Drosophila melanogaster: one gene and its partner. The gene in region 2 interacts genetically with the main gene of each other region. Each region holds a gene or a part of one and is shown on either strand. Other genes may lie near its edges. The genes, in order: so and fl(2)d.

The links.
Region 1: of fl(2)d (region 2) and so, changing one suppresses a phenotype caused by changing the other (phenotypic suppression), as found in Drosophila melanogaster (one study listed by BioGRID).

Annotation. Positions count from the first base shown.
Region 1 is NT_033778.4:7,417,301-7,422,435, reverse strand, and holds the start of so (sine oculis), read right to left. Parts: upstream 3,087-5,135; 5' UTR 2,438-3,086; intron 1-2,437. UniProt on the Drosophila melanogaster protein: Required for visual system development. May transcriptionally regulate genes necessary for optic lobe invagination and Bolwig's nerve formation.
Region 2 is NT_033778.4:13,819,114-13,826,760, forward strand, and holds fl(2)d (female lethal d), read right to left. Parts: upstream 5,441-7,647; 5' UTR 5,016-5,440; coding exon 4,679-5,015; intron 3,063-4,678; exon of another isoform or gene 2,653-3,062; intron 2,445-2,652; coding exon 2,320-2,444; intron 2,257-2,319; coding exon 1,923-2,256; intron 1,857-1,922; coding exon 1,042-1,856; 3' UTR 511-1,041; downstream 1-510. Other genes in the region: CG13339 (uncharacterized protein), read left to right, coding at 5,807-6,044, 6,098-6,318. UniProt on the Drosophila melanogaster protein: Associated component of the WMM complex, a complex that mediates N6-methyladenosine (m6A) methylation of mRNAs, a modification that plays a role in the efficiency of mRNA splicing and is required for sex determination.

The DNA of each region.
Region 1 (5,135 bases), 6.4 Mb from region 2:
TTGGTTTCTGTTTCTGTATCGTGTTTGCCCCATTCCCCTTCCCCTGTGCTTCTTCCTACTTTTATAAGATTTTAATTTGAATGTCGTGGAATCCCTGGAAATCTGAAAGCGGACACCTAACTCTATTGGGCTGTTAATCAAATTGAATTGTTCGAGCTGCCGTGGCTGCAAGCGTTGTTCGCCTAATTAGTTTGTAATCAAAGTCAGCTTACGATTGACTTGTTGATGGATTCGATTCAACTCGCAGGGCAGTTCCAAAGCCCTAAGTCCTAAGTGCACTTCGGGAACTCTGCAGGTGAAGTGTGCCCCAGCTCGAGGAGCACCCAGCTCAACTTGGAGCATGGTGCCATCGCAATCGCAAAAAGCACAAACAGTGCGCCTGTTTCTCGCGGCTAACACCGAAATCATCTGCTCCGGCGTCTGTGTTTATACAATGTAATCGAATGGGAATGGGATTGAGACTGTGACTGGGGATTGGGGATTGGGGATTGGGGATTGAGGACTGGGAAGACGTGTGCCATGCAACCTGTTGTGGGCCAGCCCCCGTTCCGGGTAATTCGAACGGCTTTCTGGCCGCTGGTCGGGATTAGTAAGCGCTGCTGCTGCCAAACGGTCGAGACAATCGCTGCTATCCGCCAGATACTATTTTTAACATTTTCCGTTTAATTGCCGCGTGAGGGAGCTACGCACAAAGAAATCGAATAGAGCGCGGCGCAATGAATGAAATTTGTCAATTTAATGGGTTGCACACACATGTGTCTCTGCCTCCGCAGCCGAATGTATCTGCATCTGCATGTCGGCTGCTTTTCGCCTTGCTGCGCCGCATTTGCCAAACTTTGAATGAAACTGAAGTGCACTGGTCGAAAGTCCCGCCGGTGGGGAGCTCGTCCCCAAATTACGACGGATTCTGCACGCCGGTGCGTAAAATGATCAAAGCTGCTGCGGCCAAACTTGCGTATCTGTATCTGTTTCTGCCCGAGTCCCGAATCTAGGCGAATGGAATGCGCAAATTTGTCAATTTGGCCACTTCCGAGATGGAATCCACATGGCTGGTATCTTGATGATCCGAAATAGGCAACCAGAACCGTACGCAACATCTGCTCCCATCTCTGCACTCAATTAATCATTCGACTTCTGACGACAAACACGCGTTGGCCAATTCGTTTAAACGCTCCCAATCCCCCGAATATCGCAAATATCGAATTTAGCCGGACAAAAGTGGGTCCACGCCCACTCATCCTCACACGAAGTACAAAAGTTGTCGGCCAAACAGTCGCTATAGTTAATAATTTCATAAATTTTGTGGCGAGAAACGAAATGATAAAGCCAAATGGTTTCATAAATAAACACTGTGTGCGTTGGTTTCGAGCACCAAACGGTTGGAAAGCCTTTGCGATGAATGAATGACAACTGGAAACTACTTTTCCTTTGGATCAAATCCATCTCATATCTTTTCCTCTAATTAATAAATACATCTGAGGTGGGTGGGCCGTTGAGTAGCCAACTTGGAAACGTGGAAAACTTAGAAAAAAATTGAGCGGTGAATAAAACAACAGAATTTTTCTTTTGGTGTGTAAACAAGTTTCCTTTCCAAATATAAGTGAACATGCAATTCCCGTGCTTTTGCCTTCGTTTCGATTCCCTCAGAATTGCTTCTCAAGTGCCTCGAGTTGGTTTTCCGATGGCTTTTGGCCATTTGGAATTCGCCAATGCCACGCCGCCAAAAAGCGAAGTGCACTTTGGCTCTCAGCTCTCCTCATTGAAATCGGCAAAACGTTGTGAATCTATGGACTTCGATGATAGATTGATCCATTAGAAAGCGGATAGAGATACGCCGTGACATTTATGGACTGCATTAATGTTTTCGCTGCACACGCTTTAAAGGCTATTTAAAGCACTAAAATATATTTTTAAATGAAGTCTTCAAATAGGCAAAGTGATTGATACTTTCTCAGAGAACTTTAGGCTTTTCTAATCAAGAATAACGCTTTGCTGTAAGTTCCATTTTAACCGTATGGGATGTTTAATAAAAGGTCTATGTTCTATGATCTTATCTATAGGTGATAAGTGATTTCTTGAACATGTGGTTAGTTCTTCTAAGGCTTAGTTTGACCTATTGAAATTATTATTTTTCTGAAACTTTTGTATATATTTATGGTTTTATAATTTTAAGGTTCCAATATGGAAATGTATAATCTAATATTAGCTATATTTATTCACATAATCGTCCCGAAATTTATCATAGTTATTATATCTCCTTTTTCAAGTATCAATGCCAATTTTATTTTAAATTAATCCCCCATATACCATTCGTTTTTCTTATTGTGAAAGAATATCCGTCCTACTTATGCATCTACATATATTTTTGCCATGGTTTCTAGTGTTCCACAGTAAACTTTTGCCGTCGGCAGCATGAAAACTGAATCTCGCTGCTCACCTGTATTTTGATTATTTATTGTTGATACGTATCCGAGTTTGTTAGTTTTTGTTTGTTACTCTTTGTTTGGGTTTGTGCCTTTTGCCTTGGCTTTCCGATTCGACTTGTGCTATATCCGCAAATGTTAGAGTTGGCCAAGAAGGCGCTGATTTCGGCTGTGCGGCATTTCCTTGATTTGCATTTTGGCCAAACTCTTCAAATCGAAGCCATGTGCCGTTCGCGCACGCACACACTCTTAGTCGCGATCACACTGGGCACTAACTAACACAAGCTTGCCGTTGAATATTGCTCATACGCACTGTGCGAACACGTGTTGCAAATTACTTTTCGCGAAAACTTCGCTGTCCTGCGCGACTCGGACAAATTGCACCTGCAAATTTGGTGGGCAAAGCTGCGACGACAGCACTGAGGCAGTGCCAACAAAAAATGGCCGCCCGCGGATTGATTAGCTCAATTTTGCTCGCTTTTCTCTCGCTTCGTGTGCGTTTATGTGGCGCGATACTGATGCGTTCATTCAGGAAACACGCAAATTAAATATAACTTTGTGCGCGGGACGTCAAAAGACCGCCGGATCCGGCCTGGATTACTAAGCGAGCGACGTGGGTAGAACGGGCAGCGAACCGCACGCGACGGAATCTCGAAAACAACTGAGAACTCTCCGGTTCTCAAACCTAATCGAACCGAAAACGGCCGAGACAAAAGGCAGAAAATGGTTGGTGCCGCTGGCGGTGTGCGTGCGCCAGAGCGAGATGGCCGACTGGTCGTGCGAGTGTGTGAGTGAGCGAACACCAAGGGGGTGAACTGCACAGTGGGATGCACCGACACTTTGTGCGTCACTTTCCAAAAACGTTATAGGAAAATAATGGAATCAAGTGAAGCGAGACTTACATTCACTGACTTTTATAAAGTCACTGGGCACACACAGTTCATGATTACACATATATGAACTGATGATAACTCAGAATTCACTACGTTTTAGTTGTTTTCAATATCTTGCCTTTACAAGTGTTTTTATTTTTATTCTATTTTATTTTATTGTATTCTAATGTTTTCGTAGTAAGACATAGTACATTTTTCCGTTATTATATGCTATTGTATCTTCAAAACATTAGAAAATGGTTTTATATATTTTTAAAGTGGCTTACAATTAAGTTAAGTTAAGTTAAGTTAATTGGACAAATATTTTTATAAACGTGTAGCCATTGAATTTGACACACGGTGCCAATCGACAACAGTTTGACAGCCACTGCGAGAGGGGCAGCGTGCGAAAGAGCGAGAGAGCGCATAAACAGGTTGACCGAAAGAACGCCCCCTCGGCTTACCTGTTCGCACACACACACACACACACACACACACATAGATGCCCTCACGCACACCGGCGCACTGGAGGACAGCAACGTGCTGATTGGTCAGCGGAAACGCATGCCAGCAAAAAGGCATGCGCATTGGGCGCCATATTGAAAGGCGGAAATCGGAGGTGATTGCAACTGCATCGCTGCTCCTCCCCAGGAACTCCTCATCCTGGCTGAAAGGATGCCCGGTGCAATAGCTGCCATCCTACAATGCCGTTTGAATTACTCACCGCAATAGTTCCATGCATCTCTCGTATAATTGCAATTACTGGCCTTTTCTCATATTCATTCACTCCACTTTTTTGGTTTAACTCAACCTTGTGGTCCTTCCACATTAGTGCGGTTTGCATTGTATTATTTAATGATTCCGAAGGAGATGAAGCCGTTTGGTAATTGAAGCCAACTAATTGTGTTAATGATTTACTAATATATTTAGTTTACTAAATATTTACTATATACACAGGCTCCTTTCGTCTTCAAGTCCTTGTTCATGATAACTGAAATAACTTGAACCTAATTTAATTTCAAACTATTAACATGATCTAGAGACACCTGTACAAAGTGCAGCGATGCGTTCAGAATGCCTAACTTTCTTTTTGAATACAAATAGTCAACTTAAATCACAGAGTACTACACTGCTTAGTGAATTTTGTAGATGGTAATTAATGTAATTAATGTAAATTAATGTAATTAATGTAATGTAACGCTAAATGTATAGAAATTAGTCAAAGTACCTGTTGTTGGAGGAACCGCTTAGACAAATGGTATTATTTTCAGCACTTCTTTATTAAAATTCTGTCCCATTTATCGGTAGCTCGATCTCAGCGTGTGCCGTGAAAATCGCATCGAGGACCACCCAAAATGCAAATTCGGAAACGGAGCTGGGAAACTCGATCGAAATCCAACAAAGATGATGGACTAATGGGGCGCCAGGCCGGTGCACCTAATCAAGATCGGCAACTGCCCACACAGATCAGATGCCAAGTGAAGATCCATACCGCTGGCGATTTCAGTATCGTTTACAGCGATCGATAAGGTTTTGGCGCCAGGCCTCGACAGTCACCGATAGCCAAAATAAGTGTTAAAAAAATTAGGAAATCGTAAAATTTACATAATAACAGATCATATTTCAATCGAATTAGAAAGACAGACGGCAACGACAACAGTTGGGAATGCCAGAGGGACCAGAAAACACATAAAGATGGCCATAAAACAAAGTTGGATGGAGAGGCAGCGATACGGGATGCCACAAAATGTTAATGAAAAAGTGCGATAAAAATCTTGTCCAACATGAATGAGAAAAACGAGGCAAGCAGCCCAACAACAATGCAGCGATCAACACCACG
Region 2 (7,647 bases):
TCTCAGCCGAAAGGATATCTCCTCCGATCGGAACAGAACTCGCTAAGCTTTAGACACCCCACATTTCCCCATGGTAGTGTAATCAACTTGTGCCATTCGAACTGCCTAGTATTTGTTATTAACTATTTAATATGGAATCGGAAGTACGTTTAACCCCCTTGCAGGTTGTCTCACCACATCCCTACTCATTTTGTACATTTCGATTGAAAGTAGGGTAAAGCAAATATCAAACTATGCCAAGCTTGCAGGCCTCTTTACCAGAACATTTTAGCCCGATCTCAAGTTTAAACTCTTCTCACAGACACAAACGAAACAAAGGATACAAACACACTCGCTGGCAGCCACAATTGTACTACATACATAAACATATTTCGAATTCAATCAAATACAAGTAAAACCATTTGTCTAATGTGCTAAAAGAAGAAACTGATAATAAACACAAGATAATTTCGAAAATCAAAACGATTGTTTTGCTGGGCGGCAATTGAAATTAAAGGACACTGGTTTTTTGAAATATTTGTTATGCTTAACAATTTATTTTAACACAAGTTTATATTATTTTACACAACTTTCATAGTATTACAAAAATGCCTTAAGTTGATAATTAAAACCTAATTTTGCTAAATGACAAGTTTTGTTTTGACCAAGCTTTCTTTTCAGCTTTTCAGTAGATGCCGTGGTTAAAAAACATAAATAGTGTATCAGTTTTTAGCATTATCATTTAGCTCGATCGTATTATTGTAAATATATGTGCTGAAGTTTTACACTGTTCTACATAATGCATTTCGTATGTAAAGCAGTGACTTCTAAATAATTTGCGAATTATGTATGTCTACGCCGCATGCAAACGAAATAATAAACGTATTTTACAAGACAATGTGTAAAAAAAATTAAAGAATCTAAAAGATAGGTTAGAAATATAAAATGAAGTCTCTCTCTGTTTTGAAATCTCAATTCACAAAAGTAAACGTCAGGAATTAACGATCAATTTGACGAACTCATATGGAGTGCACCCTTTTTTGGAAAAAGGTTCGCCAGCGCTTAGGTGGAGTAGTCGACTGCTCCGCTGCCGTTCTGCTGCATGCGGACGGACCGACGACGGGTCAGGATGCGGCCCGGTGCCGCCGGAGCACCTGGATCGCCGCCCTCAACTGGGACACCCACTTGCACTCCCGTTTCCGGGATTATTCCCGTATTGCTGTTATTAACAGCCGCAGCGGCGGCAGCAGCCTCTTCGCTCGCCATTCCGGCCACAGCGTTGTCCACGATCATGGGGACGGCCACTGGTGTTGTCACTGGCTGATGATCCTCCTCCAGCTGGGAGTTGCGACGCGTGGTAATGCCTCGCAGCTTGGACTTTTTGGGCGGCAGAGTACGTGGGGCGGTAACTTCCCTGATGGGCGGCGCTTCCTGGACGTTATTTCCTACTGGGGTGGGAGTCGGCACCACCACTACCGTTGGAAGGGCTTCCTCCTCTTGGTAGTTTCGTTTGCGGGCTAATCGCGCTGCATTTCCGTTCATATTGCTGCCATCATCCGACAGTGGTATCTGTGGCACGGCCGCGATCTGTTCGTTGTTGGTATTCCCATTGTAACAATCCGGATTCGTTGGGTTATTCGCCATGCAAGCGTCCTCGTGAATGGTCTCTAGCTTATTTATCGTCGTGTTGGTGCCACCGTTGGTGGCAGCCGCTGGAGCCACAACCTCATCCTTGATGGCCTGTTTCAACTGGGCGTTCTCCTTCTCAAGCGTTTGTATGCGATCGCGTGTGGTCTTTAGTTCTTGCTGCAAAAACAGAATGGTGCTCTGCATGCCCTCCACATCCTCGTCCAGCTCCTGCAGGAAGTCGTCCAACTCTAAATGGTAAAGGAGTTTACATATCTATAAGTTTCGATCCCAATCCTAGTTCAGATTTAACCTACCCGACTGCGATTTCTTGACCTCTTCGCTGAAGCTCTTCTGCATGGCCAGTTCGGTCTCCAGCTTGGCCAGTCTGCCGTTGGAGGTCATCTTGCCCAGCTCCTCGTTCTCCTGATAGAGCAGTCGGCACTTGGCCATTAGGCGTTTGCCGGTATTAGAGTCCGGCGTGAACTTCCATGCGGACAGCTCGTTCTGGGTCTCCTCCAGCTTGGCCTTGGTGGCCTTAAGTTCCTTCTTGAGCCGCTCGAACAGGAGATTGACCGCAGGATCGAGCAGAGCAGTGCGCAATGCGAGGGCAGTTGGCGCCTGTTGGGCCTTGTACTCGGCAATTTGGCTCTAATGGGGATTACGGGTGCATTAGTATTTGAGAAATTTGTGTATATTAAGGCGAGTACCCACCACATAGTCCTGGAATTCTTGCTCCTTGTTGGCCAGCCGTCGCATGAGGATCTTCTCGCGTCGCTGGGCGTCCGCGCATTGCTGAGCCATGCGGACCTGTTCCAGCTTGAGATTCTCGATCTCATCTGCGAATCGAAGGATAAGGATTAGCTAATAATGGGGTCTAGATAACGGGCGTTCCAAGCTGAGAGAGCCACTGTCTTTTTTTTTTTTTTTTGGTTCGCACACGAGATATAACAATATCGTACTATATATACATAGATATTTTACAAGTTCTTAATGGGCAAGGCAAAGTGTTTGTTTTTTTAGGTGGAACTTAATACGAAATCATACCAATGCGTTGCAATCATTCGTGTAAGTTCGTGACATGGTCGGTGGAAAAGGCCGCATCCCGTCGTCAATCTCTGGCTGATAATGATATTGATTTAGATTTTGATTCGATGCGAGTGTCACAACTTGAACCACTTGAACTTGGACAACACGATATCGATTTCGGTATCGAATTCGCTTGCGGTTTGGATTTCGATTTCGATTGCTTCGTTATCTCTGGCATTATCATTGGCACTTGAATAACTTGAACACCTGCCATTATTTGCATTTTGATTTCTTGCTTTTGCTTATGCATTTGCATTTGCATCGAACTTGATTGGCGATTGAATTTGAATCTTCGCGGCATTTTCGAACTTGCATACACTGTGGAAAACAACGATGACTGATTGGTATACATATTTTTTGTGGCAAAACTGAAAATATTTTTGAAAAACACTTGCAAAAAACTCGACGCACACACAATGGGCTTTCGGAAGCTTTTTCGTATGCCTATGCATGGATGTATGTATGCATGGATTTCAAAAGCTTTTCCCCTTCTCTTTTTTGCGGCATTTTCGAACACTCTTTTGTCATACAAAAAGTTTATTGACTTTGCATTTTTTGTTGGATTTGTTGTGCAAACACGTACATATATAACTTCGCTTTTGTATTTACTTAGCCAAGCAATTATTTTATATTTATATATACTATTTGATCGGGGCAAACAAATGTGTGCATGTGCGTGTGTCCCACATTGCATGTTAATTGATTGATTGGCGGCCAATTAAGCGTTTAAAAATCAATTAAGTAAGCTTAACAATTGTGAATATACACACTCACACACAAACGCACACATGTTCGCCGTATTTTGGCGCCATTTATTTAAACATTTGTATTTGTTTGAACACACGAGGCAATGTTTTTTTCATTTGACGTTCACTTCTTTAACACAATTTCAACAGAAAAAGAATTTCAACTTTATTTTCTCTTTGGTTATGCACTGTCACATTTTCAATTGATTATTTAATATTATTATTTATATTTAGGCGCGACGAAAAGAGCGTGAGGGGCGCGAAGAGAGAGAATAAGATGGGTCCAGGGGGTGGGGCAGGGGACGCAGACACGTTGGCTCTCTTCTTCTCCTCTCCACTTCTCTGCTGCTGTGCTTCTTCTTCTTCTTCAACGGGCACGTAGGCAAACGAAAAGTGGTCGCAAAACGAAAACTGTACACCGCAAAAACGACGGAAAACGAGGAAAATCTCCGATTAGGATTCTCTACTATTATTACTTGATATGCTCTATTCATTTGATGTTATTATCAGCCCGGTTTTCTCATTAAGATTATATAAAATCTTAAACTTTACTTCGTTAACCTTATCTTCTTATGATTCATTTTATAATTTTTTATTTTAAGTACGATTGCTTTCAATATTAAAGCTTAGCTCAGCTTACTGGTTATAATTGGTTACGATTCTCATATATTATTTATGATTATTTAACTCATATTTTATATTTTAGATAGTTCTGTTGCACAACACTTTGTAATCACTTGATAACTTTAGGCGTCAGTTGCCTTTTAACTTAGTTCATATTTAGGTATTATAGATTATTATATGCATGGTCCTTTTTGAAAGCACTTTCACTACATTCGACGGTTTGCTCGAGGTGGTGTTGAAAAAAATAAATAAATAAAGTTAACCAAAACGCCGCTGAAAGAATGTTCGTTGCAAAGAGTGTTCGCTTCGATTCGATTCACATAATATATACGTTGAGTTCTTTACCGAGTGTTTTTCATAAACAAATTCAAATGACACAAGAAACCCAAGTGGAGTGGGGGCAGAAATAAACTAAAAGACTACGTTTACTTGTTGTTTATATATTGCATTATTTATACAATTTACACAGAGTCAACACTTTGGATCGTGGTTTTTTCCTTTTCTTTTTTTTTTTGTCGGTATTCGAAACGAGTATGTATGTAGTATATAGGGGGTATTATATAGATCAGATAGATCTCTGATCATATAGCAGTGTACCAAAATGTGCAAAATACCTTCGAGCAAGCGCTGTCGCTGTTCGGCGGCTGCAACAGCCTCTGCAACAGCTGCTGCATGTTGCTGCTGCTGCTGTTGTTGCTGCTGCTGCAAGTGTTGCTGTTGCTGCTGCTGCTGCTGCTGCTCCTGATGGTGATGATGGTGCGGATGCGGATGGTGATGATGATGGTGGTCCTCCAAGCCGGAGGGCGTTGGGGAGGCGGGGCCGCCAGTGGCCCCACTGTTTTGGCTGCTGTTTAGGATATTTAGGTTTTGCTCGTATTTGGTCGGGGGCATTTTGTCGTAACTGTTCATACAGGGTCTTTGATCGTCCATAGTCATTGCAGCGACACTCATTATTTGGATATTAAAACGCTGTGCTTGTTACTCTTGCTGTTGTTGTTGTTGTTGTTGCGGGTCCTTTGCTGGCGTTGTTGCTGTTGCTTTTCATAGGGGCCGCTCGCTCGCTCTCACACACGCACGCAAACACACACACACACAGGCGCTCTCACCTCCTCCAATACCACACGCACACACAGGCAAGCTATCGCTCACACCAATGGCGACGCGTATGGCGAACGTTTTGCAAAACGTTGATTTCGCGTACTTTTCGCGCTTGCTCAAAGCTTAATTAATGATTTATATCTTTATTGTCCTTTAATTCACACTTTTCATATGTTTTGGGTCGGTTGGGCTCACTTTTACGGCGATATTTTTTAATTTTTCTGCGCTGCGAGCTGATTTCTCGTTTGCTGCTGTTAACTGTTGTTCGCAATCCAACATGGCGTCGCTGAAAAATACCAGATTTGCCATCGACACAAATGCAGACCTGGGGTGCGTGGCTCGGATATGGGGTAGCGGAGACTCAACCCAGTTCCGTTCACACTGCCACAAATTTTGCCAAATAATTATTAGATAACAAATTTATTTAACTTCTAAATTGCACTGATAATTCCTTCCTTACGTCTACCGCCATAGCTTTGCATCCAATACTAACGATATTTACATAGTTAGAAATAATTAGGAACAATCAAATACAAGTGAGAAAGTTGTATCTTACGTTACTGTTTATTTTTTTGTAAGATTTATTTAGGGGTCACACTGGTGGACTGTTTTGGATATTGTTTTTATATTCAAAACGCAAAAACATGGCAGAAACCACTGGTGTGCAAATAAAACTGGAACAGCAAAACATCAAGGAGCGCCTGAATCTGCACGTCAAGCGGCGCCTGCAGCAGGATGCGGATAATCCCGCCGAGAGTCCCGAATTGCTGCCCACCGATGCGAATGCCAAGCGCAGCAAGACGAAAGATGTCTCAAAACCAAGAAAACCCTACCAAAAACGGACAGAAAAACCGAAAACAGAGGCGACCAAGTGCAAGAAAGGTATTTAAGTTGATTAAGCAATAGATTCCCCCAAATACATTGTTATTTTGCAGTTGGACAATTGGGCAGTCCGGCGGGTGAAGTGGATCCAATGGATGACCAGGAGACGGAAGGCTTTTCCCCGGAGGCGCCGGATGGCAAATCCGCCAGACGGGATTGCTGCAAAAATGCCGACATCCTCAACATAGTTTTGAACGCTAAGAAACGTAGTTTAATGCAGGATCCTGAAGTTCAGGCCTTCTGGACCGAAATAACCAATTGCATAAAGGGCTGAAAGCTTAACTGATCATAAGGGTCATTAGATCATAAGGAAATATTGTTGATGTTCGGGATATTTGTTATATGAACAACATTAAATATCTAATATTAGGGCTGTTGTACAAATATGTAAATAAAATAAAATAAGTGTTAATCCAAAAATTGTTCTATTATTCTAAATAGTTTCTAAATTTGTTTAAGAACTGGAAAAAAGCTACAAAACAAGTGCATACATTTGATCTATATAATGTGAAGAAGTAGTTAACATTATATAATATTTCAGTACAGATTTATAGCAGAGCAAAGCCGGCAGTTTTTCGGATTGATATCTTCAGTTCCAACCCTATTAACATAATGACATGAACCGACATTGCAAAAAAAATATATTTGTTTTAGCTATAAACAATCTGATAACAATATTGAAAGCAATAATACTCATTTGAAATTGAAATTTCTAGCTACAATGCTTTAAAATTAAGCAGTACTTTTTAAAAAATTTTCATTTTGTAGAAGCCAAGCAAAAATATTATGAAATTTATAACATAACATTGTTTTGAAAATGTTTTTTAGTATCTATAAAAATCCAATCCTCAATCGGTAATTTCTAAATTTTGAGAGAGAAGTAGTAAGCCTAGAAGTTTTAAAATACTTTTTTAAACTTATAGCAGACTAAAAATAAATTGAATTTATGACATAACATTATTATAAAAAATTTATTTGGATACTGTAGATATCCAATCATTCGGTAAATTTAAAAATTTGAAAAAAAATATATAAGCAAGAAGTATTGAAGTTAGATGTTTGAAAATACTTAAAACTTATCGCAGAATATAAAATAGAGATTTGCCAGGGTTGTTCAGTGCGCAATCTCTCTCTTTCGGTGAGATTCTCGCTCTCCAGAGAAACAGAAACAGCTCGGCGGAAATCTCGCCGGACAGCTGCGGATTTGGCGGAGCGCTCAGAAAGAATTTCACCGTGTTTGGGGTTGCATCTACCGCGTCGCGTGACCGCATCAGAGTCCACAGCAAATCAGGAGGCCCTTGGCACACAAAATCGAGCATTTGAAGTACGAATTCGAGAGTTTTTTTTAGCGAGCGCAAAGGTAGCTGGAAAAATCGAGACAAGTGCAAAGAGTGGAAAGTAAAGTCGCGATTCTGGGCGAAACGGACTGTAAGCCGTGTTAGATAATCCCGCTTCAGTGGCGCGGTTCGCTATCGATTTAACTTTTTTCGCTTGGTTTTTCTCAAAAGGGCGCTCGCACCCTCTCTCTCTCTCTCTCTCTCTCTGTCTCTGTGTCTCTTTTCCGCACTCGATATTCCTCTCTCTTTCGCTCTCGGCCGCTTTG